2 linked regions of the Canis lupus familiaris genome follow. The protein of the gene in region 1 interacts with the protein of each later gene in a biochemical or structural test. Links are inferred from orthologs where the notes say so. Each region holds a gene or a part of one and is shown on either strand. Other genes may lie near its edges.

Region 1 (16,631 bases):
GACAAGTTGTGGCAAGAATTAAGTAGGAAGATTAAGCAGTGAAAAGAAATTCCACCTAACTCCACAGAAGTATACCAGTTTACTCCTAACGTAGAAATAAAAAGCTCATTTTAATTTCGGAATTGTACTCCAGGCAATCCCAAACTGAAATAACCCCTTTATTAAACTTCAGTTCCTTTTATTCTCCCTCACCACAGGGTTACTGAACACTTTTATTTAGCTCCATAAGAGGTACCATGTACTGGGGCCCCTAAAATGGAGAAAACAAGATACCCATCCTCAATGTTTTATTCTAGTAGAAACAGACATAGAAACAAGAGTTTAAAAAAATGTTGGAGATGCTGTAATAAAAGTAGGGAGAATTTTAGAGACTTTAAAATTTGAAATGAAGGAAGGAGGAAAGATGTAAAAACAGTGACAGCTTACGGAATTTCTAAGGCAAGGATGAGAGAAAGTATTTTCTACACCTCCTTTTTGATTTACTTAGTTGGATTCTTGGAGGTTATATCAAAGAGTCACTTAAGTTACACAGCTTCACATTTAATGGAACCAAGCTAACATTCTCCTAACAATGCAGTGATAAATTAATCTGAGGAAACTGGGAGTTTGGGTTAGTAAGAAGGGAGATTAACCTTTGGAATTCACAAAATCTCAGAGGTGAAAGGCAAAGTATCTTAGAAGTCCTCTGGCTTAGTTGGCCACATGACATATCAGGTCTACAACTCTGATACAGCCTTTGAGCCTATGTGAGCACCATCAGCAAGAGAAGATTTAATACTGTCTGGGGAGTTCATACCCTTTGCCAACAGCTCTGTTATGATAAAAACCACAGGTAGCAAGGAAAAGATACCTCACTTGTCTGGGGTGTGGTGATGGGCAGGACAGGCTTCCTGGAGCGAGTAATGTTTTAGCAAAGTTCTAGATGTACGGTAGTTGGCCAGGCAAAGAAGGGAAGTGGTATTGTTGATTGAGGAAACCATAAATTCAAAGAGCAGCATGAGAAAAGGAGGAAAGTTTAAAGATGTGTATGTACATGGTTGCATGTACATGCAGCATGGTTCGAGCATGGGGTATGAGAGGAAGTGTGAAAACCACTGCAGACAGAGGAAGGCAGACTGGAGGTGAAGCAGGGTATGAACTGTAGGCAGGGGAGTAACGTGGTTATATCCAAGTGTTTGCTCTCTCTGGCAGTACTATGGAAGACAGTCTGGGGAGAACATGGAGCATGAGACTAGTCAATTCCTAATACTAATCACTACCCAAATGTTCCAATAAATATAGATATTAAAAGCAATAATGTCAGCAATGCTTTTCTTCTTAAAGCAAAGTACAAAAATTAAACATGTTTTTCTTTAGAACTTAAATTATGCTATACATGTTGTCCTTAGTCAATTTTTTTAAAACTTAGTATTATCAAGTTCTTGGTCTATCACATGATATTTGAAAACATTCCAAATGTGAGCTGGACAAGTGACTCAAATTACTGGAGTTCAAGAATCTACTACTTACATCCTTTAGAGTAATGATGTTTGGATGCTGTCCATAACGAAGAAGAATTTCAATTTCTTCTGTTGGATCTCTTTTGCTTTTATCAATAATCTAAAAGGCAAATATTTATCATAAAATCTCATGAACTATTAAGGTCACGAACCTTAAGTATGCACAGCTACAGACCTTAGGTATTATCTTACATAAATACTGGACATATGAGCCATTTACCAACCAGTTTTATTCTAGTACCTGGCCAGACTGTTTAATCAAAATTTGAAAGCCAGTCTAAGTTTAGGACTTACTAAACACTCAAAAGCCCCAAGAAAAGGTATTTTTCTTCCATCCCCGAATGTCTTAAAACCTTGGAAGCTCAGTCAACTTTTAACCCTTATCAATACATATAATTAAGAACAAGATGTATCTATAATACTGCCACTAGCATCTGTTTATTGAATTAACTTTATTTCCTTTAATAAAATGCTTCAATGGAATAACCCATTAGTTGTAAGCTACTTATAAAAAATTAATTAACAGTTAAGTAGAACAAGCTTATTTTTGAAGCTAGGCAGAAAGCTAAGCAGAGAAACCACACCAAGAGTTTTACTTGGCTAGAGTTAAGTTTAATTATTATGATAAAGCCCTTTAAAATTCTAATGTAGGGGATCCCTGGGTGGCTCAGCGGTTTGGGGACTGCCTTTGGCCCAGGGCGTGATCCTGGAGTTCCAGGATCGAGTCCCGCGTCGGGCTCCCGGCATGGAGCCTGCTTCTCCCTCTGCCTGTGTCTCTGCCTCTCTCTCTCTCTCACTCTCTCTCTCATAAATAAATAAATAAATCTTTAAAAATAAAATAAAATAAAATAAAATACTAATGTAGCTTTTCAACCCTTTTAGGTCAGCTGCTTCTTAAAAATACATCTCTTAATGTTTTAATCTGTTAAAGTGATATTATATTTTTAAAAGGACAAGTTCAGCTTTCTTTTGTCCAGAGGGTAGTCTCAAACAAATTTTGTGACCTTTATATTTTCAATTTTAAAAGAGCTTAGTAATTAATGTACACAACAAATACTCAAATGCTCCAGCAATCTAGGAAAAAGCTTGCAACTCAAAGTATGAATCAAATCTGTTATCTGAAATGGATTTAGTTGTAAAACAGTTCTGTATGTGGAGAACAGGGAATACAAACATAGGTGTACACTGTAATCAAATGCAAATGACAGTGTGGAATTAGGCAAATAGATGATTAAGAGGAAAGGTATATGGAATAGACATCCTAATTCAAGGGAGATGATCTGGGACTAGTCTTTTGAAAACCAGAACACACTGGGAGGTGTTATTCCTAGCAACATTTTCTTTGATCTGCTAATCTGAGCAGAGCTTATATCACATACTTGTGTTTGTAGATCTTAGATTTGTGGTAATTTCAGCAGAATGAAGCTGTGTTAGGATTGATTTTATGAATCTAATTTAAGTCACAAGAATCCACAAATAGCTTGAAGATATTCTTGAGGTTTTGGTATACTGTTCCTGGTTTCTGTAATTCAAAGGGGACCTCAGGGTATTTCTGCTCTTTTTCTGATGTGTTTATGGAGGCAAGACACATCCTTAAACTGCCCATCATGTGCATTACTCACCTTCTCTCCTTTCTCGTAAGCAATCTGAAAATTCCTATGTACCCCAGATTTCACTAAGAGCAATGAGTAGGAGAAGAGCAAATTAACATGCATTTCTATGGTTTATCCTTATATCTGACAGAAAGCTGGACACTGACGATTTTTAAAGCAATTACATCCAAGTTTAGAATAGTAATAACAATTTTTTTGTGTATGTGTGTGTCTTTCATAGATATTTGCTATGCATATATAAAACACATTTATTTTTATTTTTGCACAGTGAAATCATATTAGATCTAGAAAGACAGATGGATATACAGAAGTAAAAACAATTAATGCTTCTCTTCATGTAAGTAAACATGAGCTACCCACACTTACAGACCAGTTCTAAGGTCCAAAATAAATTAAGAGCCTTAGACATTACTTAAATTGCTTGTATTGGGAGAGCAGTGACTACCATCCCAAGAAGTGAAAAGGCAGAGACTTGAATGTAGTATTTTTTCACTTATAGCTACAGGTCTGTAATTCAAACTTTATCATAGAGCCATATGATTTGGCTTCAAAAATTCTTATTGTCTTGAATGAAATTAAAACAATGAATGAAACAATGAAATTAAAACAGCTAATGATAATAAATTTTGTAACAGTGGTCTTTTCCTTTTATCAGTTCACAGATCCTTTTATATGTGAAGGACAATATGAACATTTTTTTTTTGGTAATATGAACATTTTTGCCAGAAAAATGTAAACACATAAAATTTGGCATACAATCTTGAGGAAGTCCCTGACACTCAAGACCACAAAATGCCCCCATATTACTTTTTAGAGTAAGAAGATGCTATTAAAAATCAAGTCAGATGTACTACTGCCTTGAGCAAACCAAAGGTACGCTACCTGCCTTTAGTTTACAGGTGAATCCATGGTTCCAAATTGAGATTCCTGAAGGTTGCTATAGGCAGATATTTAAATTTACCTTTTTAAAAAAATGAAAGGCACATTTGCCAAAGAAAAATTTAATTTTAACTTGTACTGACATGTGTGAATAACAACTGGTAGAGCTGTATTTTATTTTTTAATTTATTCTTAATTTTTAAAACGTAGGTTCCATGCTGGGCATAGAGGACCTTAGGTACTATAGAGCCCAGCATGGGGCTTGAACTCATGACCCTGAGTTCAAGACCTGAGCTAAGAGTCAGATGCTCAACCAACAGAGCCACCCAGGCACCCCAGAGTTGAATTTTAAATCTAAAAATATTTACCTTCACTGCAAACTCCATGTTTGTAGCTTTATGTATGCATCTCTTGCAAACAGAGTAGGAGCCAACTCCAATATCTTCTTTTACTTCATATCCATCAGTAAACTGAATGCTGTTTCTGTGCAACTGCTACAAACACAATTATAAATTGACAAAGAGTTTTGTAATGACAATGGTATAATTCATAATAGAGGAATATGTTACTCATTATGCATTGCTGATATTAACAATATAAAGGAATATAAGCAAAAATTAAAAATGAATCTTTACAGCATTTATTTTTCCACAACTGTGTATTTTATTTATTTTAAATAGTTTATATTTATTCAAGGGAGACACAGAAAGAGAGAGAGAAAGAAAGAAAGGCAGAGGGAAAAGCAGGCTCCCTGCTCCCTGATCGACGTATGGCTCGATCCCAGGACTCCAGGGTCATGCCTTGAGCCAAAGGTAGATGCTCAACCGACTGAGCCACCCATGCATCCCCACAACTGTGTATTTTAGAATGTTTGCCATAAAATGTACAGCAAGAAATAGGCTTTTAAGAAAAAGCTTATGCTAAAAAATTTGAATATGTAAAACCGAAAATGCAGAGTTACTTGGTAAGGGGTTGCCTGTGACTGAGCCCTATTGCACTCCCCAACTGATGCTAGGTCTTTTAAAGTACTTTTGCAAATAGGGAGAAGTTTAAAGTCTCTGGTATAGAAGAAAATATTTAGGAGGATTCAGAATTAGAACATTGGGATTCTTGTCTCAGATGCTCCTCTTGCAGACTGCGCAACCCTAAACTATGTTTTCTTAGAGGGTAATGGTGAGGATTAAATAAAAATAACATATTTGAAGGTGACACCTATTATCGTCATTGTGGATTATCAGTAGCCATGCCCTCCATTTTCCACTCTCAAGTCAAAGCTTCAATACATTTCTGCTAGAGAAGCTATTAATAGGTTAAGGACTGATAACATATGGTAGGACGATGCCTAGTAAATTAGTAGTTTCATAAGCAGGCTGAGGGAAGTTGTGCTGTCCTTGGCGATACTGAAAGGAGACCCGCCTCCTGCCTACCAATGTCTACAAACTGTGTATCGGTTAGAATTTGAATTCTGTAGAATATATGTTTGTGATTTCTATGTTAGGTACAGAAGTTATAACTTAAAAACCTGCCATACATCACATGCTTGCTATAGTAAAAGGAACAAACTACTTTAACCATGAAATTTATTTAAAAACTAGTGTTTAAATTGGTTTTCTAGAAAGTGGAAAGCAAGATGACTAACTTGCGAAGAAAACTTGAGAGCAAAAGCAACTTCATCTTCAAGCAAATTCATCATTAAGCAAATCCAAGCACTAATTAGTGCCCTAAAAACAATCAGTGCTTCAAAAGATATATCTAGTTCCTTCTATAATTCAGAAGATGAATTAAATTTATCTTTCCATGATACTAGGATGGGAAGAAATACATCTAATGGTTTGTACTACTTGTGTTCCTCTAATAACATTTACTAGTTCAGTCTCGTGTTACAGGCATACAGACATCTGGAAACCTGCTTCTGCGGCTTTTACCTCATTCTCCAACTCTGATACACAGATGGGATAATGGGGTGGGGGACATCCTAAGGTAGTATCTATAACCATTTCTATTAAATAGCAACGGGGACTCCAAAAGAACAAGGACACAAAACTTGGAAAATATAAGGCTGAAGTTCACTTTTATTTCTTATGTATTTCTATAGCAGAAATTGGCGAACTGTATAGCCTATGGACCAAATTTGTTTTAATACTAGTTTTTATAAATAAAGTTTTATTGGCACACTGCCACACTCATTCATTTAGCTACAGTCCATGGCTGCTTTTATGCTACACTGTCAGAGTTGAGTAGTTGTAACAGAGATCATATAGCCTACAAAGCCTCAAATATTTATTAACCGGCCCTTACAGAACAAATCTGCTGAGCCCTGTTCCAAGCCATCAGGGAACCAGGAGATCTTAGTTCATCAAGGCTGACCTGACAGAGGCAGAAGATGAAACAAATTAGGCCTGATAAACATTTTGAGGCATAGGAGAGTGTAGAGACAAGATGGTGATATGCATCTCAACTCTCTTAGAATTCCCCTTTCAAGTTAGATCAGTATCCAGGACTCTGGTGCATGCAATCTTTTTTCCCTTAAGATAGATAGATAGGGGGATCCCTGGGTAGCTCAGCAGTTTAGTGCCTGCCTTTGGCCCAGGGCGCGATCCTGGAGTCCTGGGATCGAGTCCCGCGTCGAGTTCCCTGCGTGGAGCCTGCTTCTCCCTCTGCCTGTGTCTCTGCCTCTCTCTCTCTCTCTCTATCATGAATAAATAAATAAAATCTTTAAAAAAAAGATAGATACATAGATGGATTGATTGATTTATGAGAGAGAGAAAGAGGGAGAGAGAGAGAGAGAGGTATTGAGCATGAGCACGTGCACACACTGGGGCAGAGGGAGAATGTTAAGCTGACTTCCCACCAAGTAGTGGGGCTGGCCTTGGGCCTGATCTCATGACACTGAGATCATGACTTGAGCAGAAATCAAGAGTTGGCCACTTAACCAACTGAGCCACTTAGGTACCCTATCTTTTTAAAGGCATATGAAAGGAATTTCTAAGAGTAAGTCAATGATATAAAATGTATTTTAAGCTGCTCACTTAAAATCATCAGATCAAATCTAATCTAATTATTCACATAGTGAATCATATCTTACAACATTTCAAATTTTAAATTACTTAGACATTCACTCACCTGCACGATTGAATGCACACCAACTGTCTGCATAGCTTGGCTTTCATCATCTGAGGTGATAGCAACAAAACTAAACCCCCGAAAAAGCTGATGTGCATTAGCACTAGGTGGAATGCCAGGTGAATCTGAAAAGAATAATACATTACTAAGAAGGTTATACTCTGAATGGTAAGTTAAGGGAAGAAGAACTGTTGACAGTATGACCTTTCTCTTATTCTGGAATTCCACTTTTTAGGCATTCAGGGCTTCCAGGATAACTCAGTAACACTCAATCAGCTCTGTCCTGATGGCTTATTGGCATCACAACTCTAACATCCAAGTTCCTCTGAGCCCAGAAAATAGCTAATTCATTGAAGAATATAATAAATCGATGAAAATTACTAGGCTAATGTTATTCTAAATTAGCATGGTCTCATGGAATTTCCTGTAGTGATAGAAATTTTCTTTATCGTGTTGTTCAATATGGTAGCCAGTAGCCATATGCAGTTCCTAACCTTTTGAAATGTGGTTAGTGTGACTGAGAAACAAAATTTTAAATTTTAATTAATTTAAATTGAAATAACCCCATGTGACTATTGGCTACCATATTAGATGGTGCAACCTTAAATGATAACCTAAAAATGCTATGGATCCTGGTGAGAGGGAGATACAGGGTTCATCCACAGATAATTTAGGAGAAAGGAATTTAGTCTGATGGCCTCAATATACAATATCAGAATCTGGAAATCTAAACTACATGTTAAAATTTACTATATTTATATATATATAAGGAACGAAAATAATTTCTAAGACAATCATGGTATGCAGTCCTTAAAATATGTTTTATGACATGACATATATTGTTACTCAAATTGTTTATGTGGAATCTACTAGCAGTAACAAAAACAGAAAAATGCTTTTAAAATATAATATTCACTATAAAAACAATAAAAGCATGCATAACAAATGTATAATTCATAAATATAAACACACAATTAAGCATACTAATATTTATAATCATGCTATAAAGGCTAAGGGAAAGCAAAAACCAAACAGGCAAATATATTTAAATATCAACTCCATACAAAGTTCTTTTTTAACATCAGCTTGATATTCTCAGCAATAAATACTGTTTAGTGCATTTTAATTCAATGTAACAGTATTATACTGAAGACCACTGTTAAGAGAACCAATCTGGGAAGAATACAATATAGAACTGCTCTTTTCTGAAATTTTTCCTCTATCAGGCCAAATTGTAATGAGAAAGTAAAGTAAAACATTACCATATATCACCAATTCTATGCATATCACTATTCATATATTTGATGAAATTTTGTTCATGTATTAATCCTAATTTCTAAGACTGTCTAATAAAAATAAACATCCATCAATGCTTATTAACACAAATTATGAGGATATTGTCTCGAAAGCTTTACAATGAGGTTTAAGTGATGTACTGTATAGAAAATATATACAAATATACTTTTTATTTATTTGTTTGTCAGTGATAAACCTGGGGTCTAGTACACTTAAACAACAGGGTATTAGAGTGCAGAGCACACCATTACATGCATGCATACACTAATTTAATGAAATACAGATTACCATTTCAAAGATAATTTCTCTATAACAGTCAATGTTTATGTAATTTTAGAATAAAGCATGACACAGGATATAAATCATTTTGAGATGGTCACACCTCATATAAAGTTTAAGTTATGTTTTGGAATTGAACTAAAAAAGTACTTCCAAAATACTAACTAATATTAGAGTTTTAAAGAGTACTATCTATACTAAAAGATTATTTCATGTAAAAATAGCTACAGGTAAATAAACACACAACCAAAGATTTTTTTTTCACATAAATAGTATCAAAGTTTAAGGCATAACCTAATTTGCTAAAAGATTTAACAAGGAACTTGACTGCTATAAAATGCTGTAAAGGATTTACTAATTATCTAGTTACTGCAGGAAGGATATGGTATGAAGGGGAGACATGAGTATTATACACACACATACACACGCACACACACTGTTATATTTAGGTTTTCACATTTTCTCCTTACCTTTGGGAGTTTTTGCAGTAAACTCAGGATCAAAATAGAACGTATCTTCAGGCCTGCCAGTTGCAGGTTTAAAAGGTGGATGAATTTCTCTTCTGTACAGTTTCTGGAGGAAAAAAAAAGAGACTTAGACATGTATTAATTATAAAAAAAATTCAAGCAAATCTTCATGTATACTCACATTCCAGTCTATTGTTGAGAAAAATGAATGTCTTTTAATTTCCTCAACTCCATCTGGTCCTGCACCTATCAAAAAATGGTTTAAATTTTTTGATTAAATGGTAATTTTACTTCAGGGACGAATATATACTTTATTTAGCCTTCGCTTTTTTGAAAGATTTTATTTATTTATTCATGAGAGAGAGAGAGAGAGAGAGAGGCAGAGACAGAGGCAGAGACAGAGACAGAGGCAGAGGCAGAGGGAGAAGCAGGCTCCCTGTGAGGAGACTGATTTGGGACTTGATCCTGGGACCCCAGGATCACACCCTGGGCCAAAGGCAGGTGCTCAACCGCTGAGCCACCCAGGCGTCAAGCCTTTTTTTTTTTTTTTTTAATTTTGTTTTCTTTTTTAAAAAATTTTTTATTTATTTATGATAGTCACACAGAGAGAGAGAGAGGCAGAGACACAGGCAGAGGGAGAAGCAGGCTCCATGCACCGGGAGCCTGACGTGGGATTCGATCCCGGGTCTCCAGGATCGCGCCCTGGGCCAAAGGCAGGCGCCAAACCGCTGCGCCACCCAGGGATCCCCAAGCCTTTGCTTTTAACATTTGTCCTAATATATCATAATTCCACAACAAAACAAATATCCACCCCCCACCCCAAAACCCCAAAGACCAATAAACCAAAAAAAAAAAAAACAAAAAAAATTAATTACAAATTTTACCTAATCTGTTTGCAGGATTTCGTTTGAAAAGCATTCGTAAGAGACTCTGGGCTTCAGGACTCAAAAACTGAGGCATCCCAAGTTTGGCTCTAAAGAATAAATCCACATAGTAACATTTTATTTTTTGGAGGTATTTGTATTTTATTTTTAATTTTTAAAATTAATCTTTTTTACTTTAAGATAATTGTGGATTTATACTAAGCGGTAAGAAATAATACAAATAGATCCTGTATACCTTTTACCCAGTTTTCCCCAAAGGTAACATTTTACCAAACTATAGTATACTATAACAACCAGAATACTGACATTGATACAATCCACTGATCTCACTCAGATGTCTCCAGTTTTAACTGCACCCATTGTGTAAGTTCACTCAATGTGTAAGTTCTATGCCATTTTACCTCATGTATAGGTTCCTGTATCCACCACCACAGTAAAGATACTCAATAGTTCATTACTACCAGCATATCTCATGTTGTCCCTTTATAACTACACCTGTCTCCTTCCCTCTCCAATTCTTAACCTCTGGCAATCACAAATCTATTCTACATTTCTACAATTTTGTCATTTTAAGAATGTTATGTAAATATAATTATAAAGTATGTAACCTTTTTTCACTCAGCATAAATTCCTTTGAGATTCATCCAAGTGGTTGCATGTATCAATAAATCATTCCTTTTAGTTGTTGAGTAGCATTCCATGGCATGGATGTATCACAGTTTATATATTTACCTATTAAAGGGCATCAGGATTGTGTCCAGTTTTGGATTCTACAAATAAAGATGCTCTGTACATTTGTATATAGGTTTTTGTGTGAACACTTAATAGAATTTCAGTCCATAATATTCTAACAAACTTTTCCATTTTTATAAATTTTGCAAAAAGCACTGCTGTGACAGTAAGATCATCTGAGTCTTAGTTCTGGCACTGTTACTAAGAACTTTGTGACCTTGGGAAAAGACAATTCTCTTGGGTCTGTTACCACTTCTTTATAAGCAAGGGGACTATTAGATCAATGGCTCCCAAAATGTAGCCTTGGAACCCTTTTTCAAAAGGAATTTAAGAAATCCACTATTTACAACTGCTAAAAGAACATGTGCATCATATGCCTATTTTTTCCTCCCATTCCCTTTAATAGCCCTACAGGGAAGAAGAGCTGGTGGGAAAGAGGTCTGTGGAACATCTAAGAGTCTAAGGTACAGTCTGAAACCCACCAGCTTGAATGAGCTTGAAGGTCAGTTTCAGCTCTAATATATAATTTTATTTTTTTTCTAATTTATAAATTAAGGAAACTAATGATCCTCTAAGTATGAAAATAATTAAAGAGCTGGGGAAATGGCTAGCAGAGAAAGGTCTATTTGAGAAATACATCCATTTATTATTCAGTGAGTTGTTACTGAGCTACTATGTGCCAGATATTCCTTAGTGTTGAGGATACAGATAAAGATAGCACCCCATCAAGTCAGTGGGGGAAGACGGAGATGGATAACCCAAGGATAAACCTAGTACGTGAAGAGGCATATTCAGAAGGACGTATGGAAAGACTGCTAAGGGAATATCAGGGGATATCTAATTTAACACGAGAGATTGTGAAAGGCCTTAAATGCAATTTATTTATTTATTTTTTAAAAGATTTTATTTATTTATGAGAGAGAGAGAGAAAGTGAGAGAGAGGGTGACACGCAGAGACACAGGCAGAGGGAGAAGCAGGCTCCACGCAGGGAACCCAAAGCGGTACTCGATCCCAGGCCTCCAGGACCATGCCCTGGGCCGAAGGCAGGTGCCAAACCACTGAGCCTTCCAGGGATCTCCTTAAATGCAATTTAAAGGTTGAGAATTTATTCACTTGGCCAGTGTTCCCCCAACATCTTACTAAATAACCTTGATTTCTCTAGATACTCAGCAGCAACAACAAAATACTTCATGATCCAATGAATTTGTGGAATGCTATCTATTATACCCCTTGTTGGAAACACAGAATAAAGTACATGCATATAAAAGGCTGAAAAATCTAAAGTAAAGAAATCAGTATTTTTCTAAACATTTGCTCCCAGTACCTCTTTTTCAGAGAAGACCTATTCACATCTTGTAGGGGGAGCATTCTGTTCAACAAATCTGGGAAAATACTGCCAAATTAGGTAATAAGGATATACCAGAGGTCTTTAAACAGTGGAATAACATGACCAAATTTATTTTCAACAAGGTAACTCCAAGGGCAGTATAGACTGATCTGGAGTGGGAAGTGGTGGTAGGTTGTAAGCATTCTACTTTGGAGCTTGACTCAATAGTGTAAGTAAGAGACCACCATGATCTGAGAACTGTAAGCAGTACAATGCAAAGAAACGCCTGGGACACTGAAATATTTCTGAAAGCAAATTTGACCAATACCTGCATGTGCAAGAGAAGGGAAGAAATCAAAAGTGATTTTCAGGTTTCTGGCTTGGGAAATGGGGTACTTAGAAATGAGGCTAATTGAAAGCACAAGAAGAAAAAAAGAACAGCAAACAGATAAATCTAGTTTAAAGATGTTAAGTCATACATATCATGTTTTTGGAGAGCCAAGCAAGTGAGTAAATGCGAATACAGGTCTGATGTCTGGTTAAGGTAAGAAAGAGTAATTTGAGAATAATTAAAATGCTGAGAGTAGTTATAGGGAAGATCGAAATGAGCACAGAAGAGAAGAAAAGCATATCAGAGATGAAACCCTGGGGAACAAGAACATTAAAACAGTGGTCAGAAAAAGAACAATTTGAGCATTAAAAATAATGAATGCAATTGTTTGTAAATGCTGAATCACACTGATTATCAAATCCCATGGGTTTGTTGTAGTCAAAACTAACATAAAAACCAACTCTTTCAACACCATCCCCACTGGAGGTAACCAGGGCTCTGGCAATTGGAAATAATTAAGGAAAGAATCAAACATTTATTCTGCTTTTCTTGTTTGAGCCTTATTTCAAGGTAACTAAAGAGCCCTCGTTGATGAGAGAAAGTTCATTGTTTTGGAAAATATCAGCTAATAAATGAAGAAGGAATAAAAGTAATAGAAAATCACTATTTTTGAATCCCTAATAAAATAATTGTTTCAATTAATGGTTACCAATGGTTGAAACCACTAGTTGAAAATCTGCCAAGGAACTTTGCAACAGAGGGATCAGATGTAACTATAGGAACTGGTCACTTAAAGTGGGGCAACCAGGTGTTCTAAGCCTTCTGATTTGATGCAATGGCTCATGTGTGCAGCATGAGCTATGAAATAATCTTGCCAAAAAATAACCAGAAATTCAACAAAGGAACAAGTTCAACAATATTATAAGGAGAATAAAACAATTTCAACACTCCTAGAAGGCTAATTGTTATGTCACCATGTTAACAAGAGAGCCACAAGAACTGGCTTTAAATTCATTCAATTGATCAAAAACAACTTGCCTAGGTGAACATAGTTTTTGTTTTTTCCAAACCAACCAATCAGTAACTGCTCTTCATCTGTGAAAATCAGCCAGACAAAAATGGGCTGACTCCAACAACCACACCTGAGTGCCAAGTGATCAACAACAGTCCCACCAAAGTAACCACTCTTAGAGATGATGTCAACCCACTTATGGCCCTGAAAATCTGCCAATTCTTGAACTCTACCCTTCGCCCAAAACCCTATGTAAGAACACTGGTCTGTGCTGCTTAGACACTATTAGATCAGGATCTCTCTTTCTTACTGTAGTAAGCGATAGGATTGGCTTTATGGTTTTTATTTCATATACCAAGAGGTCGTCTTTTGACAAGATATATTCTGAAAGTGGAATTCTATAAAACTGTCTTGGTTTCTTCTACAAGTAAATGGTAGGTAACACAGGGTAGAGTGTTCTGGAAGAACAGAAGCTTGAGAAATGAAATGTTCAGATGTGATTTGGGACTGTAAAGACACAGTTCCGGAGAGAATCTGAAAAATCTGGTCAAGAATTGGTATTAGTGGATACTTAGCAGTGTCTTGTTAGGTATGGTTATGTAAGAAAACATCCATACTTTACAGTGATGCAAACTGCAGTAGGTGAGAAATAGCATGTCTGGAATGTTTAAAATATTTCAATGAAGAAAGAGAAAGAAAAAAGAAACAGATGAAGCAAATGTGGCAAATCTTGGGGACTGTTGAATCTGCATGACAGATATATGTGTTCACTGTATTAATCCTATTTTTGTGAATTACATTAGAAAGTTTTCATAATTAAACAGAGAAAAGCAGGCAGAGACAGAGAAAAGCAGGCAGAGAAGGAATGGTCAAGCACGAGACCAAAAGAGAAACTGTTAGGGAGGGAGGAGAAGCAGATGTGAGGAGAAAGATCTAAATGGGGAGAAGGTGGCAATAGCATCAAATACTCCCAGAGACACTTTTCTTACCTGTCTCATCTAAATGGCTCCTGCTTCTGCCCTTTCCCTCACATTTCAAAAATAATCTGGTTTATTATGCCTATTGTTCCTATTACTATCCGGAATTATTATCTTCATGTGTTCAAATATTAATTTTTTGTCTCCTCTAATAGAATGCAAGCTCTGTGAGACCACAGAAGATCCTGTCAGTCTTGTTCACACTGCATCCTAAGTATATGTAGCAAGACCTCAACCTTCTGTGGAATGAATCGTGTCCACAAACGGTGCAGAGAGTCACCTAACAATCTGCCACTGGTTTAAGCAACCAGATCACTGGTGACCATAAGAAAAGGAGTTTCAGTTGAGTGGTGGTAATGAACAATCAACAGGTTGTGGAATAAAAGGAGCCAAGAAATGGTAACAGAAAGCACAGACTACTCCTTAAAGAGGCTTTGTGCTCAAAGGATGCAGGAAGATGGTACACAAACTTGAAAACAAGGCCAGGTCAAAGAAAGAGTTAGTCTGTTAACACTAGACTATGTTTATTCACTGAAAGGAAGGGGCCTGAATAGATGAAGTAAAGAAGGTTCAGGGAACATTCATTTATCGAGCAAATATTTTTTGCTGTTTTTATTGGGGAGAATAACATAAAGTGCAAACAAACTTGGCACAGCCCCAACACCAAAGTATACAGTTCACTGATTTACCACAAAGTGAACAGTCCTGTGGCCAAGAAATATAACATTGCCAGAACCCCTCATTCAATGTAACCACTTTTCTTACTTTGCCTTGGCTGCTGCCATTTAAATATGGACCTTAAAAATTATGTTTCAGTTTGTCTGCTTTAAAACTTTGTAAATAGAATCATATAGTTATTTATTCTTTTGTGTCTGAACTGTCTTTGCTCAACATTCTTAATGTGATTTACCCAAGTTGCTGCACATAACTGTGGTTTGTTCATTTTCTTTGCTGTATGGCACACTGTACCCCTGAACCAAAGGCCTCAGATGTTTTTGTATAGCTTGAGAGCTAAGAATGATTTTTCCATTTTTAAAAAAAAGATTTTGTTTATGTATTTAAGAGAGAGCAAGAGCACGAGTGGGGGACGGGGAGAGGGAGAAGCAGGTTACTGCTGAGCAGGGAGGCTGACATGGGGCTCGATCCTAGGACTCTGGGATCATGACCTGAGCCAAAAGCAGAGGCTTAACAGACTGAGCCACCCAGCTGTCTCAGTTATTACATTTTTTTAAAGGATTGTATTTATTTATTTGAGAGAGAGAGTATGTGTGAGTGGCAGGGAAGAATAAAGGGATTGGGACAAGGCGACTCTGCACTGAGGGCAGAGTGCAACAAGGGGCTCTGTCCTGTGACCCTGAGATCATGACCTGAGCTGAAATCAAGAGTCAGAGGTTTCACTGACTGAGCCACTGAAGCACCCAGGTTTTTACATTTTTAAAATGTTGGAAACAATAAACAATAAGAATACGTGACAGACACTGTATGTGGCTTGCAAAGCTTAAAGTATTTACATAGTATCTCTGCTGTATCTCATTCTATGACTAACTATAGCATAATTTATGAATCCACTCTACTGCCAGTGATCCATTTTCCACTTTCTGGTTATTACAAATAATGCTGCTATGAACATCTCTGTTCTAGTTTCTTAATGTGCAAGTAAATTGATCCATGTAAATTGAGTGCATGCCTAGGAATAGGATTATTGGATGAGGGTATATATATTATTTGGCTTTGGAACATGGTCAAAAAACTGCTTTCCAAAGTGGTTAAAAGTTGCTACTGCTCCACATCCTGTTAGCACTTTATATTGCCAGTTTTTTTACTGTTAGCTATTCTGGTGGGTATGCAGTTGTAACTCTCTGTGGTTATAATTTGCATTTTCTGATTAATGAGGGTGAGCAGCTATTTAATGGCCATTGAATATCTTCTTTTGTGAAGTCCTTACGTCTCCTACCCACATTCCTATTGGGCTTTTTTCTTACTGATTGATTGGAGTTCTTGATATATTCTAGATATAAGCCCTTTGTTGGATGTGTCTCAAATGTTGTCTTCTATTCTCTCAAATGGAATCTTTTGATAAGAAGTTATCAGTTTTAATGTAATAATACTTTATTAGTCTTTTACAGCTAGTGCTTTCTGTATCCGAAGACTATTTTTCCAACCCAAAGATCATCACTTTTATGCTCTTCTAGAATCTTTTTTGCCTTTTTA
Region 2 (15,739 bases), on another chromosome or scaffold:
CCCAACCGGCAGCGCTGCGGGGGGCAGACCAGACGGGCGGGCCCTGCAGGTGGGTGCACGCGCGGAGCGCCGAGTCCCAGGGGACAGCTCGGTCCCCGCCGGAGCCCGACCCCCAGCACACACGCAGCAGGAGCGAGTGATCTGCTGCCCGAGTGGCCCTGATCGCCGCGCACAGAGGCCTCAGTTCAGGGGCGCCCGGCTGAGCGGCCCCGAGGTGACCTGGTGGCGCCGCGGCGGGACCAGGCCCAGAACACGGGCTCCGGCCCAGCCTTCCTCAGGGGAGGGGCCAGCGTCTGCACTGCCCTGGCGCTGCTGGCCTCTCGCCCTTCCCTGCAGGCCCTACAGCTGGACCTGCACCCTATCGGCCCAGGGCTCTCGGGGACGCCCCTGTGCCAGCCGCCCGCACCCGCTCCCCCTGCACCCCCTCACAGCGCCCTGTGGTCTCTCCCCAGCTGGTGCCATACTGGGAGAAGACGTTCGACATCGACCTGTCGGCCCCACAAATAGGAGTGGTCAACGTCACGGACGTGAGTCCCCTTCCCGCCCCGCTGGCCTCCACCCCTGCTTCCCTGCTCTGTGGACCCCCCAGGAGTCAGACACGCCGTCTCAGGGCTGGACGGACGCACTCAGGCTCTGAACATGCGCCCCGTCCTGCAGGGCCGGTCCCCAGACTCCCCACCTGGAGTCACCACCCCCGCCCCCCCGGCACTCGCAGAGCCCCCTGGGCATCGAGGACGTGACTGCCATGTAGCTCATCTCGGGTCTACATATGGGGCGCGTCTGCCTCTCCAGCGGACGTTGAGCTTTTGGAGGGCAGAACTCTCACCCACACGTGGCAGGTGTTCAGCTGTGGTTTTGTGGCGACAAAACGAACGGGCTGTGTACGGTCTTTGCGTCCCCCCAGCTCCCGGTGTGACCGGGGAGGCAGGTGCTGTGTTGACGACACGGCCAGCTCTTATAGACACGACCACGAGGAGACCAATAAAGTGCTAGGAGGCCACAGAAATCAAAGCCACTTCTGCTGGAGAGAGGCTTGGGGGGGGTCATTTGGTGTGGCGACCTGCACAGCCTGCGGGGCACGCCACGTGCACACGCAAGGCCTTTCCAAACCGACGCAAGAGGTAGAGCTAAGTAAGGTCACAAGTAGGAGAAGGACTGTGAAGTTCTGGAAAAGGCAAGTCGTGTTTACGGCCTGCGAGGCTCGAGGGTTCTGTAGAAGGTGCTGGAACAGCAGGTGATGAAGCGCTGACGGGCGCCAGGCCTCACTCTCCCCGCCGAGGGCCCCCCGCCGGCCCATGCCGGAGGCCTGTTAGGGAGGCCGAGGACGGAGGCCGCCCTGTCAACCTGGCCGGTGCCGCGCAAGAGGGGAAGGACGGCGGGGGCCCCGTGAGCCGGGGGACCGGGCTCCTAGGACCTGGGTCGGGCTCACCCGGTCCCCTGCGTGCGCCCCGCCCCAGGCCGACAGTGTGTGGATGGAGATGGACGACGAGGAGGACCTGCCTTCCGCCGAGGAGCTGGAGGACTGGCTGGAGGACGTGCTGGCGGGCGAGATCAACACGGAGGACGACGACGAGGAGGAGGACGACGACGATGATGATGACTAGCGGCTGTGGCCGCCCTCTCTCTGCCCGCCCGCCCGCTGCTCTCCTGTGCTCCCCCTTCCCTGCCCCTCCCTGGGCTCCTCCAGGGACCCTGGGTCACCCTCCATCTGCATCGGGCCCGCTGACCTGACCCCGACTGTCACCTGACAGGGACAGGACCCCCTGTCCCCCCACACGCCCGCCCAGCCGCCTCACTGACTGTCCCCTGTCCCTCGGTGGCCCCATCCCACGACGGATTCCCCCACCGGTCCGTGTGCTCTCCCTCGTGACCCTCCTCTCCTCCGTTCCCCCCACCTGCACACACTCTTCCCCACACCCCCAAATCCTCCGTCCTTCCGGCCAGGAGGGAGGGCGGGCCCCGCGTCCCGGGCCACCTCGCGGCAATCTCTTGTTAATGTATTTGGGTCAGATATTGAGAGGCCTCAATAAAGGATCTGGGGCAGCATGAGCAGGTGTCTGCTGAGAGGTGTCACCCCGCGGCAGGAGGGGGGCAGCCGGAGGATGAGGACAGGGGAGGGGGGCGGGGGGGGGCGGGCGCTGCAATCCGAGCAGGATGGGTGCCTCCCTCCAGACCATCGTCCCCAGAGGAGAGTGGATGACTTATCTCCGGCCAGGCACCAAGCTTCCCCACCCCCCCCAACACAAGATGTTTGTGCGGCACCCCGGGAGGCTCTGGGAATGCCGGGCTGGAAGTGAGGACAGGCCGGAGCACATGGAAGCCCACCACAGACTGATCCTGCGCTGCTGGATCGCACCCTCCCTGCAGCTCTTCTCTGAACGTCAAGACTCAGCCCCAGTGACACTTCCTTGGTGAGGGCTTCCCAGAGGCGGCGCCCGCTGCAGCCCCCTCATCTGGGGTCCCCCCCTTGGCGACCCCCTCCATCTGTGGCTACGTGTCTGTCCCCCCGCACTGGACCGTGGGCCCCTTGAAGGCAGGAGCCCAGGCTTCTCCTCTGCGCCCACCAAGGGCGGCCCCCACCGCGTCTGCTAGCAGAAGGCGCCAGTGAACAGAAGGGCTCAGGAGGGAGCGGCCACCACGCAGCGGGCTCCGAAGGCTCCAAGGAGTGAGCCCTTGCTAGGCCCTCCCTCCGTGAAGAGTGGGGGCTGACGGGGCAGAGGAGGCAGGGAAGGGGCCTGCCCGTCAGTGGAGAGCATCAGAAGCACCTGCAGGATGTGGGTGTCATACTGGGGGCGCAGAAGAGATGAGCAGGACAAGAGGAGACCCGCAAGTGGGCCCCACGAGGATGGGCGGGTGTCACGGGGTGTGTGGAGCTTGGGTCTCGTCCTGGGAGCCAGGAGGAAGGGCACTGATGGGCAGGTGGGCAGAGGGAGGGAAGGGGGCCCCTGGCCCTCACGGCCAGAGGCCACCAGTAGGGCCCGCCCTGCAGAGGAGGCACAGAGTTCTGTCCATGCGGCCCCCCACCCTGCCCCCGGGCCTGGGCGGCTGAGGTTCTGGGCAGGAAGGCTCCCTACGGCCCCCAGCACAGCCCAGGCTGGCGTCCGGGTAAGGGAGTGGGATGCCGTCGGGGGGTGGGGGGGTGGGGGGGGACCAAGGCACTGATTGCCCAGAATTCACAGACGTGACAGTTACGGGCCAGGTACAGAGGTGCCGCTGAGACTACAGGACGGCTAAGTTCAGGAGCCACGTCACTGTCCTGGACAAACCCAGGAAGCGCCCCTGGAGGGGGCGGAGGGCTCCTGCCACCATTCAGTCCTGCGTCTAATACGCCGAGTGGGCCCTGGGCCAACCATAGGCAGCCGGCAGCCCCCACAGCTCAGGGCAGGGCCCCTGCCCATCTGCGGCTGGGTCCCGAGCACCCATCTGCGCCACTCCTGACACTCAGGATTTCTGCGTCTGGGGAGAGCCCTGCATGGGGGGGGGGGGGGGCAGCAGCATGTGCACCCTCCTGGCGAGGGCGCTGGGCGTTGGGGGCATACCCTGCCCCCCGGGAGGGGCAGAGCCAGTGCAAAGCCCCAGCCCCTGTACAGGCGTCACTTTGGGTCTCTGGGTCTCACCGATGGCTCAGAGAAATGGCTTGCGGTCCCAGGACACAGCGCAGGAGACACACAGCCAGGGCACGAGGACGCCCTGCTAGCAGAGGGTGGTGATGGGGGGCAGGGAGGAGGCAGGAGGCCTGTAGACCAGGACGGGGGGCTCCCCAGCTGGAGGTGGCACAGGCCTCTTCCCAGGGCCGCACGGCCGGAGTTGAGGCAACAGCCCTCCGGCTGCAGGTGGGGCGCAGACTGCTGCCCCCCGCCCCCCGTGTTCCTTCCCTGTTTCAGTGTGGCCGAGACTGGGAGGAAAGTCCCCGAGGCGGAGAGGAAGTGAGAGCGCGGCCGGCCGGCAGAGGGGAGGCCGAGCTGAGCGTGGCTTTGCACGGCGGCGTCTATATTTGCACGCTGAGCTCACTGCTGCTCTTTTCCTCCCAGAAAATCAAATTACATCATGGTGGGGGGAGGCCGGCGGGCGGGACATCTGGGGAAGGTGAGAGGGACACGCGGGCATCACCCCGGGGGAGGGCCCAGGTGGAGGGGAGGGGGCCGCCGCCGCGCTGCCGCGGCCGCTCGGGGGATCCGGGGCCTCGGCCTCCGCCGTCGCCTCCCCCGGTGCCCGCGCGCGAGGACGGAGAGGACGAGGCCCGCAGCGGGGTCCGCTCCCCCCCGCCCCCGCAGGCCCCGCCCCCGCAGGCCCCGCCCCGCCGCGCAGGCCCCGCCCCCCGCAGGCCCCGCCCCGGTGACGTCAGCGGCCGGCCGGGCGGGGCGCGCGCGGGGCTGGGGCTCGGGCTCGGGCTCGGGCTCGGCGGGCGGAAGCGGCGGCGGCGGCGGCAGGAGCGGCGGGAGCCGAGCGGAGGCTCCGGACGCTGCCCAGGACCGGGACGCCGGAGACCGCGCCCTGAGCGCTCAGCCCGAGGCGGTGAGGGCGGGGGCCGGGGGGCCGGGGGGCGGGGGGCGGGGGCGGGGGCCGGGGAGCGGGGGTCGGGGCCGGGGTCGGGGCATCGGGCCCGGGGCGCGGGCGGGGCGGGAGCCGACCGGACACACACCTACGGGAGCCCGCGGCACGCGCCGACACACGCCCATGTGACTCGTGCACACACCGCTTCGCACGCAGCAAATCACAGCGGTCCCCGCGCTACGCACCCCCTCCCCCACGGCCTCCATGTGCCCGGCCCCGGGCGACCCGCTGCGGGACGGGCGGGGGGCGGGTCCTGCGGTGCCCCCGGGCGGGATCCGGGGCTGCGATCCGGGGCGGGATCCGGGATCCGGGGCTGCGGTCCGGGGCCCGGGGCCGCGCAGGGCGCTGTGCTGGGCCCGCCGGGCGCCCGGGGCCCCGGAGCGGCCGCTGTCTGCGCCCCGGGGCGGCGGAAGGCCGGAGGAGGGGGCGGGAGAGAGAGAAGGAGCATGAGTCAGCCGAGGATGGAGCCCGAGTCGGGGGGAGAGAACGAGGGGAATGTGCGCGAGGGACGGGGACGCGGCCGGCGGCGGGCGGCGGGGGGAGGGCGCGCCCCGGAGCTCGCGCTGGGAAACGGCTGAATCTGTGGGTTTTGTGTCTGGGTGAGTGGCCCCCGGGCCGTCAGAGCGATTAGCTGTAGCTGCTCTTCCCTTTGTGGCCAAGCGCCGCGTCGGGGACGGTGCCAGAGCCCCCGAGGCCGCCAGAGCCCCCGCGGCCTGCTTGCTCGGCCGCACTGCCCTGGGTGCCCTGCCCTGGGTGCCCTCCCTGGGTGCCCACCCCAGCACCCTTGGGGAAGGCCGAGGCCATGCCTCCTAGGCAGACCCTCAGCACCACCTGGGCACAGCCAACCCGCTCAGGCTCCTCCCCACCACAGTGATGATCCCTGTACAGCTGGGAATCTCACTCCTTCCTGATGGGTGTTGGGGTAGGGGCCCCGAGTGTTCAGACACGGACACTGGGGCACAGGCCCCCCCCCCCAAGTCCTCAGTATTCAGGGCCAGCACCACGTGACATGGGATGGAAGCCCACCGGAGGGAGAGGAGGGGGGGAGGAGCTGGATGCAGGGGAGAGACAGGGAGGAGACACAGCAGCAGGCGAGGCCCTCCCCTCCCCCCTCCCCCGTCCCCCCCACACCAGGAGGCAGCCCCCCCCCATCGCACACTCCATGCCCCCACCTGGGTCAAGTCCCACAGGCTCGGCCCAGTGTCCGTGCCCAGGGCTAAGCCTCTTGCTCTCAGGCCACGCTGAACCGTTCGAGGCCCCAGGACCCATCTCCCCTCTGGCGGCTGAGTCTTAGAGCCCCCCGCTTTTGTCACAGGGTGAGGCTGAACGGAAGCTACGGGCAGAGGTCCACGACGTGTGACACTCAGGATAATGAGGGGCGAACGAGGGGCCCAGGTGGAAACTGAAGTGGGCCCCATGGGCCCCCCTCCTTGCCTGCCGCCCCTCCCCCAGGCTGGGGCCTCCCTCCCGGCTCCTGGGACACACCCCCACCCGCCACCCAGGCCACCTGGTCCACCCGCCCCCGCCCGCAGGCCACAGGTAGCCAGCAGGGGGGCAGTGGCTCCTGAGCCTCGGGCTTTCTTCCCAAGTCGACTGGGGGTTTGGAAGGCACCGCTAGGGATGATCCAGAAGTGCTGTCGGGACGCCCGGCCTTCTCGGGGTGCTGCGCCCCCCGCGGTGGTGTCCCCTTGGCCCGCCGCCCCCAGCGCTCCCCGAGCCCCAGCCGGCCCGCTCTGGCTCCCGCCCGAGGACCAGCAAGCAGATCCCTGCCCCTCCTCCCCTGCGTCCCCAGCGGGTCCCACGTCCGTGGGGCTCCACCTGGGCAGCTGGGGGGCGGCGGAAGGAAGGAAGGAAGGAAGGTAGGTGCGAGGAAGCAGGGAGCAGAGCGCAGAATGATCGGGAGGGAAGGGGACGGACTTCCTGGCAGCGGCCGGGCCGGTTCCTGCCCGGTATCCTGTCCCAAGAAGGGCCTCCGCCCAGGCTGCCGGGTGATCCCGGGAGGGGAGGGGACTCGCCGGGAGGAAGGTGACGGTGACCGGCCCGGGCGCAGCCCGCCGCGGTCGCACCAGCCGGGACGAGCGCTGGGCAGTGCGACCTGAGGGCCGCGTGAGGAGGTGCACCTCCCTGCACCCCAGGATTCCCCAGGGGACCGGCAGTGGCCCTGCGGCCGCCAGCCGCCTCCCCGCCCCCTCCCCACGGCCGGCCCTCCTCACTCACCACTCCCCGCCCCCTCCCGTCCAGTGGTGTCATTGTCCTGAGCGCTGGGGGGCACCCAGAACCGAGGTTGCCATGGCAGCCGCTGAGTCCCGGGCCGCCCCCCAGGGTCTGTCCTTTGCCGCCTCCTGGCCGTTCCCAGGCCTGCCTCCATTCCGCAGGGTCTCCTCCGCCGTCCCCTCCCCTCTGGACGTGGGCCTGTGCCTGCAGACCTTCCTCACGCTCTTCACACACACGCACGCCCGGGGCTGACACGTGCACATCCGTGCCCTGACCATGCACCCCTCCCCCGCACCTGTGCCCCCCCCCCCGCCGGGCCCCACATCCACTGCAGGGTCCCACCCCCGTGCGCCCCCCCCACCCCGCTCCTGGGGCCTCCTGGAGTCCGCTGCTGCCCGCGCCCCCGGCCATGGGTGCCGTGGGTGGCTTGCTCACCACCCTGAGCCCGGCCCGCCCACCTCCCCTGGAAGTCTGTGCTGTAGGATCGGAGCCCGGAGCCTTAACTCTTTCCAGAGATTCGCACACACTTTCCTTCCGCGGGATCTAGTTACAGCCTCTTCTTCCACGAGAAAACGGGACAGGATGCTCCTCAGCGCTGTCCTGCTTTCCCCTGAGGGCTTGGTCCCAGGGTCTCCCTGTGGGGGGCACGCTGCCGCCTCCCGAGCCACCCCTTCCTTTGGGGGGCCCCACCCCCGCTGACTCCGCGCGTCTGGACCCCTCCCGATCACCCCCTTCCTGTCCCGGGATTATCAGTGGGTGGGGGCTGGGCTCCAGAGCTGCCGCTGTGACCTAGATTTCAAGGCGAGACGGTTCCTGGTGCTGACAGTCGGCGAGCATTGTTCCCGGCCCCGCCTGGCAGGGCCACCGCTGGGCCCTTCTGTCCCCTTGCACCTGTGAGCGCCTGTTTCTCGTGGGGGTCCTGCCGCCCGGCTCATCGTGTGTCTGCGTCGCGGTGCCTGCCACCCAGAGAGGCTGGTTCGTTCTGGCCCACCGAGGGGGCTGGGAATGGGCACCCCTGGGCCGCCGCCTCTCTGCCTCAGTTTCTCTGCGTCTACGCCACACGCCGCCTGCTATGTGCTGCATTCCCATCCCCTTGCCGGGGTGACTGGGGCAGTCCAAGGATGCGGTCCTCCCGCTCCTTGCCCTGGCCCTCCGTCACGCCAGAGCTGTGATGTAATTTACTTTTTAAAACGCTTTATTTTTCTGATTATAAAAGAAATACATCCTCATTGTGGGGGGATCAAAGCCCCTTTAAACTTCCCACGAGGGGCTTCACGTCTTATCCCACCCGGGGAGCACCTGCAAAGGTCCGACCCTCCTTCTTCCTGTCTCAGTCACACTTTGTGCCTGGCCAGGGCAGGGAGGGCCTCGAACGTTCCCTCCCTTTCCAACTGAAGGCCTTGGACGAGGCAAGGGGGAAGGCCTGGAGGAAGGCCCGCCCAGCCCCCCGCGGAGGCCGTCGTGGGGCACAGCCGCGTCGGAACCCCTTCCCCTGCCACCCAGCCGGCCTGGGAACCGGGCAGGGGGCCAGAGGCGGCCGCTTGGTATTCCTGGGCGCGGGGGCTGCGGGCACAGCACAAAGGCTGGCGGAGGGGGCGGCGCGGAGGCCCGGCGGCCGGCACGGGAGGCACGGGCTCCTCAAGGCTGGGGTGGCCCCCGCCACCCCCTCCCCGCCCACCCCTGGCCCCAGCACTGAATCCCGGGAGGACCGTTAGACCAAGCCCCCGGGCATCCGTCCAAAGTGAGTCACCATGGGGTGGTGGGGAGGTGAAGTGAGGGTCCCCCTCGCTGCTGGGGAAACGTGGAGGCTGGAACACAGGCGCCCCCAGCGCCCCAGCCCCCTGCCCCGTAAGGGGCCCCAGCCCGGCCAGCCTCTCCCTCGCGGTTGTTTTGGAGTATTTTTTTCTTTCCTTTTTTTTGACAGGGGGAGGGGTTGCGGGTGGGTGGGGCGATGGGGGGGCTCGGAGGCTGCGGGTGAGAAAGTCTGGAGCAGGTTGCTATGGTAACCGCCTCCTCAGTCAGGGGAGCTGTTGCCAGGGTTACTCTTGGGGGGAATGAGGAAAAAAGATGGGGGTAAGGAGGTGTGACTGGTCCCTCGAGGCCGCAGCCCGGCCCCCTGCTTCTCCCTGGCTTCTCCCAACGGCCTGGGCCCTCCCCCCCCCCCCCCCCCCCTCGCAGAGTGGAGGTGCTGGTGGGAGGTGCCAGCGAGTCCGCCGCCGGGCACCTCGAGCTCAGCGCCTCCCTTTGTTCCTCCGACCAGTCATGGCCGAGTACGGGACCCTCCTGCAGGACCTGACCAACAACATCACCCTGGAGGACCTGGAGCAGCTCAAGTCGGCCTGCAAGGAGGACATCCCCAGCGAGAAGAGCGAGGAGATCACGACCGGCAGCGCCTGGTTCAGCTTCCTGGAGAGCCACAACAAGCTGGACAAAGGTGGGCGGGGGCCGAGCCACGGGGCCCACGACCCCCCCCCCCCCCCCCGCCCCCATGCACCTGCTGCCCCTGTCGCGGGCGCAGGGAGGGCAGAGCCGGAGCGAGCGCCCGAGCCAAGCCACAAGTGTCAGAAGTAGAACCGCTCTGGCACTTTCAGAGCCGGGCTCCGGGGAGGGCGGGGGCGAGGGAGCTGCGGGTGAGGAGGCCCCGAAAGGCCAGTGGACCCCGGGGGTGCTCCAGAGGCGGGAGCGTTGGGGTGTCTGGAGGATGAGGCCGCCTGCTTTGTTCGCCCGGGGCCCAGGCGACCTGGGAGCGGCTAGGGTAGGGTGGGCCGTGCTGCGGCCGAGGGGCTCTGGGGGGCCTACGGAGCGGGGTGAGCCGCGAGGGCTCGGGGGCAGGGGACGGGGGCGCCGTGGAGGCCAGAGTGGGGCCCTGGCTGGGTCAAGGCGGGCAGGGCCACGGCCACGGCGAGGCCAGCTCCCTGTGGTCCCTGCTGCTCAGCCTGCAGCCCTCGTCCGAGCCGCTGCGGGCCTGGCCTCCCGGCCCCGCGGGCCCCACGCGGCTGACCCTGTCCCCCGCCCCCCCCCAGATAACCTCTCGTACATCGAGCACATCTTTGAGATCTCCCGCCGCCCCGACCTCCTCACCATGGTGGTGGACTACAGAACCCGCGTCCTGAAGATCTCGGAGGAGGATGAGCTGGACACCAAGCTCACCCGGATCCCCAGTGCCAAGAAGTACAAAGGTAGGAGCCCGTGCCCGTCACACGCACCCCTGCCCCCCACCCCCACGGCGATCCCTGGAGCTTGCGGATTTGGGGCCAACACAAGCGGACGGGTGGGCCTGCCTGCTGTCGCCTTCCGTCCCACACACGTGCCTTTCTGCCCCCAGACATTATCCGGCAGCCCTCTGAGGAGGAGATCATCAAATTGGCTCCACCACCGAAGAAAGCCTGAGCGAGGGGGAGGAGAGGAGGAAGGTTGGACCTTCACTGGACCACTCCCTTCCCCCAGCCTCCAGGGGAGGGGCACGGGCAACCCCCCCAGTCTACCCACTTACTAACCCGGTCCTAACCCCCTTATTGTGCGCGTGTGTGTGCGTGTGCGCACGCTCTGGCTGTCTGTCTCTATGTCTAGCTCATCTAGTTCCTCCTCCTTGTGAGGGGATGGGGGTCGGGCTGGGGGGGGCTTCGTTTCCCCACTTTAGGGGGAGGTGGGGGCTATTTCTATGCAAATAGAAATGGGTACATTCCTCCTACTGCCCTTTCCTTCCACGGCTAAAGTGTGGGAGCAGAAAGAACCTGTATTTTCCTACTGAGGAGCCGAGCCTGCGGGTAAAGCACGGGCGAGGTGGGTGCATTTAATGAAAAGCAGCGGGAGGGAAGGTGGTCACCCAACCTCCCCCCTCCCCGGAAGTGGGAAAGGAAAGCCGAGTTTGCGCCTGTACCCCGTGCTGGATCGGCTGAGGGAGCTTTTCTAGACGGTCTTCAGGCCGGAGGGCCTGGGCCCCAGCAGGTCCCTTTTTGCTCCCGTCCCGCGGGCCTAGGATGGGTACAAGCCAGGGATCTAATGAGAGCACCACGGGATCCTTTCCTGGCCCCTCAGTACCAACTTTGCGGAGCACCGAGCGGTAGACGCTACCCCCCCAAGGGCCCATGCTGGGAGCAGCCCCACCGACCCCGACTCGGGGGCGCGGGCAGAGAGGGTCCTCCTTGCCACCCCTTTATTCCTACTCAGACTGTTGCACACACGGACTCCAGACCTAGGGAGGCTGAGCAGTGAGCCCCTGAGGTCTTCACTCCACCCCTGCCCCAGCCACAGGGTCCCAGCGTGGGGACTACAGGCCACCTGCCCTCTCTGGGGTCTACAGCACCCCCAGCTGGAAAGACAGGAAGAAGCTAATTAGGGCCTCTTCCTCCGCACTGACCCCCAGTTCAGTCCAGGAGGGGACCTGCTGGCCCGTCTCCCTCAACCCCCTGGCGCGTCGGGCTCGTGAATGCCACCCAGCCAGTCCCCGGACCCCGGCCTCGTCCTGTGCCGACGCCCCCCCGCCCTGACCGTGCTAACTGTGTGTACATATATACCGACATATATGTATATTAAACCCGCACTGCCATGCCTGCCCTCTCGTGGTGTCGAGCATACCTTCTTGTCTAGGCCCGGGCGGGGCTGGGGGGAGGCCACAGCCAGAGGACTGCCGGCGAGTCGCTGCGGAGTCCACACGGGAGACCGCGTCCACGTGCCACCTCCACAGGCTGGAGCGAGCGCAGTTCCGAGCTTTTCAGCTGAGGGAGCAGGCCCAAGCGGGGGGAGGACCGGCTGCCGGGGAGGGAGGAAGCCGACGGGCCGCGGAGCAGCCTGCACGCCCAGCCCAGCCCAGCCCAGCCCAGCCGTCCCCTCTGGCCACTGCTGCGGACACCTGCCTTAACACGGACACCTGGAGTACTCCACAGTTTTGCCTTAAAGGACCTCCCCGAGATGCCCCAGCCCTGTCTGCTTCTCCCTCCAGGACCGAGAGGCACTTGTAGAATTGGGAGGGGGGAGCTGAGCACGACTGTCCTTCCGGTCAGGATTACGTGATGTGAGAATGTGCGTGAGAGCGAGCGAGAGCGAGAGGGGGAAGAGGAGGAAGGAATAGGAGCCTTCTCTGAGGAGAGGAGGGGGGAGATGGGAGAAGGGAGACAGGGTCATTTCCAGCAGAGTCTAGAAATCTCTCTGTAAGGCAAAAATAACCTAAAAAGACTAACCTGCCCTCCCACCCTGTACGGCTGTGAGATTGTCCCCATCCTGTGCTCCTGTCTGCAGTGTGCACGGCCTTGTTCTAACCCTGGAATAAAGGTGATTGACTGTACTGTACCTGACTGCTTCTAGAATTTCTGTGAAGGTTTTTGGAGCCTCTGGATGACTGGGGGGGGGGGGGGGGGTGATACTTAATTCCGCTCCCTCACTAGCCTGGAACAGAGGCCAGGAAAACCCCCCCTCGTGGTGTCCTTCCCCTCCCCCGGCCCCTACGTAGCCCCCCGCAGCCCCGAGCCTGGAGACACGGCCCCGCACACCACACCTCAGGCCCTAGGAAGGCCAGGGCCAGGCACCGAGGCCGGCAGGAACCACACCAGCCCATCTTGGGTGAGAGGGCCACACATCACACACACAACAGCAGTCAGAAAGAAGAAGAAAAAAAAAGCTTTACTGAGAGAAAATACACAACAAAGTCCAGAATGCGTGGTTTTCAGGCCACTCCGTCGCCCCCCCAGCAACAGGAACACAGACCACTCAGTCACCACACAGCCCCTACCTCGGGGCAAGTGCAGCAGCTCACAGCTGGTCTGACCGTGGCTAAGAAAGGGGCAGAAGGAAGGAGTGTCTGGAATTCCATCCTTTCACTGTTCCCTTCCTCCCTGGCTTATTCTAGTAGAATCGGGCTGCCCCAGGGTGCAGAGTTTCTGGTGGGGGGGCAAAGAAATAGCAGCACAAGCAATAGGGCAAGAATTCAACTAGGACTTCCGTATCCGTGACCGGTGACGGGACGGGCGTCCAAGCCCCAGCCATCTTCATCCTCCAACGACGTGTCCCTCAATCGCAAGATGTCAGAGGCGGACAAGCTCCAGCGGCCGACCCAGGAGGGCCTTCTCTACTTCGCTCTTCCACCAGGAGAGGAGCTGCTGCGGTGAGGTGGGGGCTTCAAGAATCAAGCAGCTGCCGCCGAGGGCGTGTGTCCCCGTGTCCCCGCCGCACACAGCGGGAGAGACCGCCTGCAGTCAGTTCAGTCAGGCGCGAGAGACGCCGGCCTCTGCGGACCAGAGGCCCTGAGACCGCCCCGGAACACCACCGGGAGGAGAGGTGGGAGACCCGAGGCAAAGGACTGAAAGGAGTTTCCGGTTTTCCCAGCCCCGAAGCTGTGGCAGGAAGCAGGGCAGGGCAGAGCTGAGGACCCTTCCATTCTAGAGCCTCCGAAAGCCCAAGGGGCTTGCCCCGACCTCCAAGGGCCGCGTACAGAGGGCGGGCTGACCCCGGTGTGACCGTGAACTCACGATCCGCTCTCATCCCTTTATTGCAGTCATAGAGGATATATAGGTATTTAAACGGACAATAATTTTAACGTGATACATCCAAGTTTGACTTGCTTTTTAATATATTTATAGATATAAAATTAGGCCTCTAACAGTGACAGGGCAAGGAGATCGCTGCCACCAAACAACTTTTTCTTAACATTAACAGAAGAGGTAACACGTCCTTCGGATTCCTCCTCCGCCTCTGCCCCCCTTCCCCTCTCCCCCAGCCTCCCTCACCAGGCCTAGTTGGGGTGACGGGACGACGGAGAGAAGAGCGGGAAGGACACCTCATCAAATGTGAAACACTGTGGGAAGTACAGAGGACGAGCGGGTGGAAAGGAAAGTGAAGAGTGTGGGATGGTTAGGGGCTCTAAGGACCTCCCGGAAAAAACAGGATCCAGGGTTGGGGTTGTTCAGGGGGGAAAAAAACAATGCAACTGTCACAGACTTTTAAAAAATAAAGAAGAAAAAGGCCAAAAACCTAAACCAAAGAGAGAGTGGCACTTGTACCGCCCCCACTGTGGCCCATGGGTCCTGAACAGCCAGTCACCCCCACCCCCCACCCGAGAAACAGGGAGATTAAAGAAAAGGAAACCCCATTCCCTACCCCAAACCAGTTAACAAAATAGGCTCCCCCCTCCCAAAAAACAAGGCTTTGGGGAGAGGCCATTTCTGCTGAGCTCTCTGTGCCTCTCCATGCAGCCCACCCCGGGGCCTGCTCCCACTCCGAGCTACTCCGCAGGTTCACTCCCCCTCTGGTCTTTCTCCTGGGATGTCTGTCTTTTTCATCTAAAGCAAAAAGTCCAAAGTGCGTGTCTGCTGAATGTAAGGGCCTGGGACAGGAAAGGGCTGCCCAGGCAGGATCGGGTTGGCAGCCCCAGCCCGCCCTTCCTGGGTACGAGGCCTCAGGACGGCATGCACTGCACCCGGTCGGGGCCCTCCTCCTCGTCCGAGGTGTCGGAGGAGCTGGGAGACTCGTCGGAGTCCGCATCTGTGGCCCCAACCCCAGGTTCTCGCCAGCGCTGTAGAATGGGAAAGGCTTGTTAGTAATTTCCCTGAACCAGGACAAGCCTGTTAGGTCTTAACTCTAATTCGGATGCTCTAGGCCAGGGGTCAGCAGAATGCTTCTGAAGGGGCCAGATGAGGAGTCGTTCAGAGTCCTGGGCCGCTGCTCTGCTGCAACTACTCAGCTCTGCTCTTGCAGCATGAAAGCAGCCACTGACAATGTAAACGAATGGGTAGGATTGTGTCTAATAAAACTTTATTTACAAAAGTTGCCAGAGTTCGCCAACCCCTGTCCTAAACCTCTTCTTCCCCCCTAAGGGAAAAAAGGCGGCCACCCCTTCCCCCACATTCCTCCTCAACTCTTTCCCCACCCTCACACCTCCGTCCCCGTGGAGACAGCACTCTCATGCACGGAGACAGCACTCTCATGCACGGCGACGGGGAACGGAAAGCAGACACCACCCATTCTGCCACACCAGGGCTCTGACGGGGATGGGGGACCATGCAGAGGACACCCAACCCAAGCCACCGGATCCCTTTTAAGGTGGTGAGGAAGTGGGCACTGGAACACTCTCCCCTCCAGAGCGTCACCGCCCTGGGAGCTCACCTCCCCCACCCGCTTACCCGGTGGTGGCGTCTCTGTCTCAGGTGATGCATGAGGAACCAGAGCATGTGGCTATCAAACAGGTCGGTGTGGTGCAAGCTATCTTCATCCCGCTCCCGCTTGTTCTTCTTAATCACCTGGAACAAAAATGGGTGGTGGGAGTGGGCATGAGCAAGGAGTAAGAACCCTGGACCTGACCAGAAAAGACTGGCATTCTATCCCACTGAAAACTTCCTTTAGGATCCGTTAAGCTGAGGTGCTGAATGAGATCAGGGAAGGATGCACCACGTTTATCCACAGAGAAGACTGGGAAGCTCTAAACCAGAATGGTTCTTCTAAAGACACCCCAACCGCTCCACCGTTTACTAGAGGCACCCCGCAGCCCCCGCCGAGCCCCCGCGCTGGGACCACTCCCCAAGGGGCAATCAGTGCCTTTAAAGAACTGAGCAGCAGTTATTCCTTCCCATGACAACGAAGACTCAAAATGTAACGTGGACATGGGCAGTCAGCTACTCACGTCCTTCAGCCCTGTCAGTTCAGTGGAAGTTTCAGCTGTGGGCGCCCAGATCTTGACGTCATGGTCAAGGCCACTGGTTGCCAGCACTGGCAGGTGAGGGTGGGGCTCGAGACAGTTCACCTGGTGAGAAGGAAAGGAAAGCACAGGCTCAGGGGGTGTATGCAAACGGGGCTTAAAAACCACTACTCACCTTGAGCCAAACATATTCCTCAATCAGAGCTGAAGCAGCTGCTGGGAAGGCAGGCCCAACCATCATGAGTGTGGGCCAAGGGCCCTGGGGGTGGAAGAAACACTGGACACAGACTGGGTAGAAGACCAGGCCCATCGCTCATTTCCTAAGTATAGGCAGGGGTGGCCTCA

Evidence for each region.
Region 2: the proteins of RPS6KA3 (region 1) and PEA15 form a complex in vitro, tested with the Homo sapiens proteins (2 studies listed by BioGRID). The link is inferred for Canis lupus familiaris from reciprocal best matches to the Homo sapiens genes RPS6KA3 and PEA15.

What each region holds. Positions count from the first base shown.
Region 1 is NC_049260.1:16,153,171-16,169,801, forward strand, and holds part of RPS6KA3 (ribosomal protein S6 kinase alpha-3), read right to left. Parts: intron 10,130-16,631; coding exon 10,041-10,129; intron 9,403-10,040; coding exon 9,338-9,402; intron 9,263-9,337; coding exon 9,160-9,262; intron 7,240-9,159; coding exon 7,115-7,239; intron 4,486-7,114; coding exon 4,360-4,485; intron 1,600-4,359; coding exon 1,510-1,599; intron 1-1,509. UniProt on the Homo sapiens protein: Serine/threonine-protein kinase that acts downstream of ERK (MAPK1/ERK2 and MAPK3/ERK1) signaling and mediates mitogenic and stress-induced activation of the transcription factors CREB1, ETV1/ER81 and NR4A1/NUR77, regulates translation through RPS6 and EIF4B phosphorylation, and mediates cellular proliferation, survival, and differentiation by modulating mTOR signaling and repressing pro-apoptotic function of BAD and DAPK1.
Region 2 is NC_049259.1:22,825,262-22,841,000, reverse strand, and holds PEA15 (astrocytic phosphoprotein PEA-15), read left to right. Parts: upstream 1-4,341; 5' UTR 4,342-4,515; intron 4,516-5,097; exon of another isoform or gene 5,098-5,153; intron 5,154-9,028; 5' UTR 9,029-9,030; coding exon 9,031-9,202; intron 9,203-9,791; coding exon 9,792-9,947; intron 9,948-10,093; coding exon 10,094-10,158; 3' UTR 10,159-12,057; downstream 12,058-15,739. Other genes in the region: DCAF8 (DDB1- and CUL4-associated factor 8), read right to left, coding at 14,159-14,275, 14,883-14,999, 15,380-15,499. UniProt on the Homo sapiens protein: Blocks Ras-mediated inhibition of integrin activation and modulates the ERK MAP kinase cascade. Inhibits RPS6KA3 activities by retaining it in the cytoplasm. Inhibits both TNFRSF6- and TNFRSF1A-mediated CASP8 activity and apoptosis.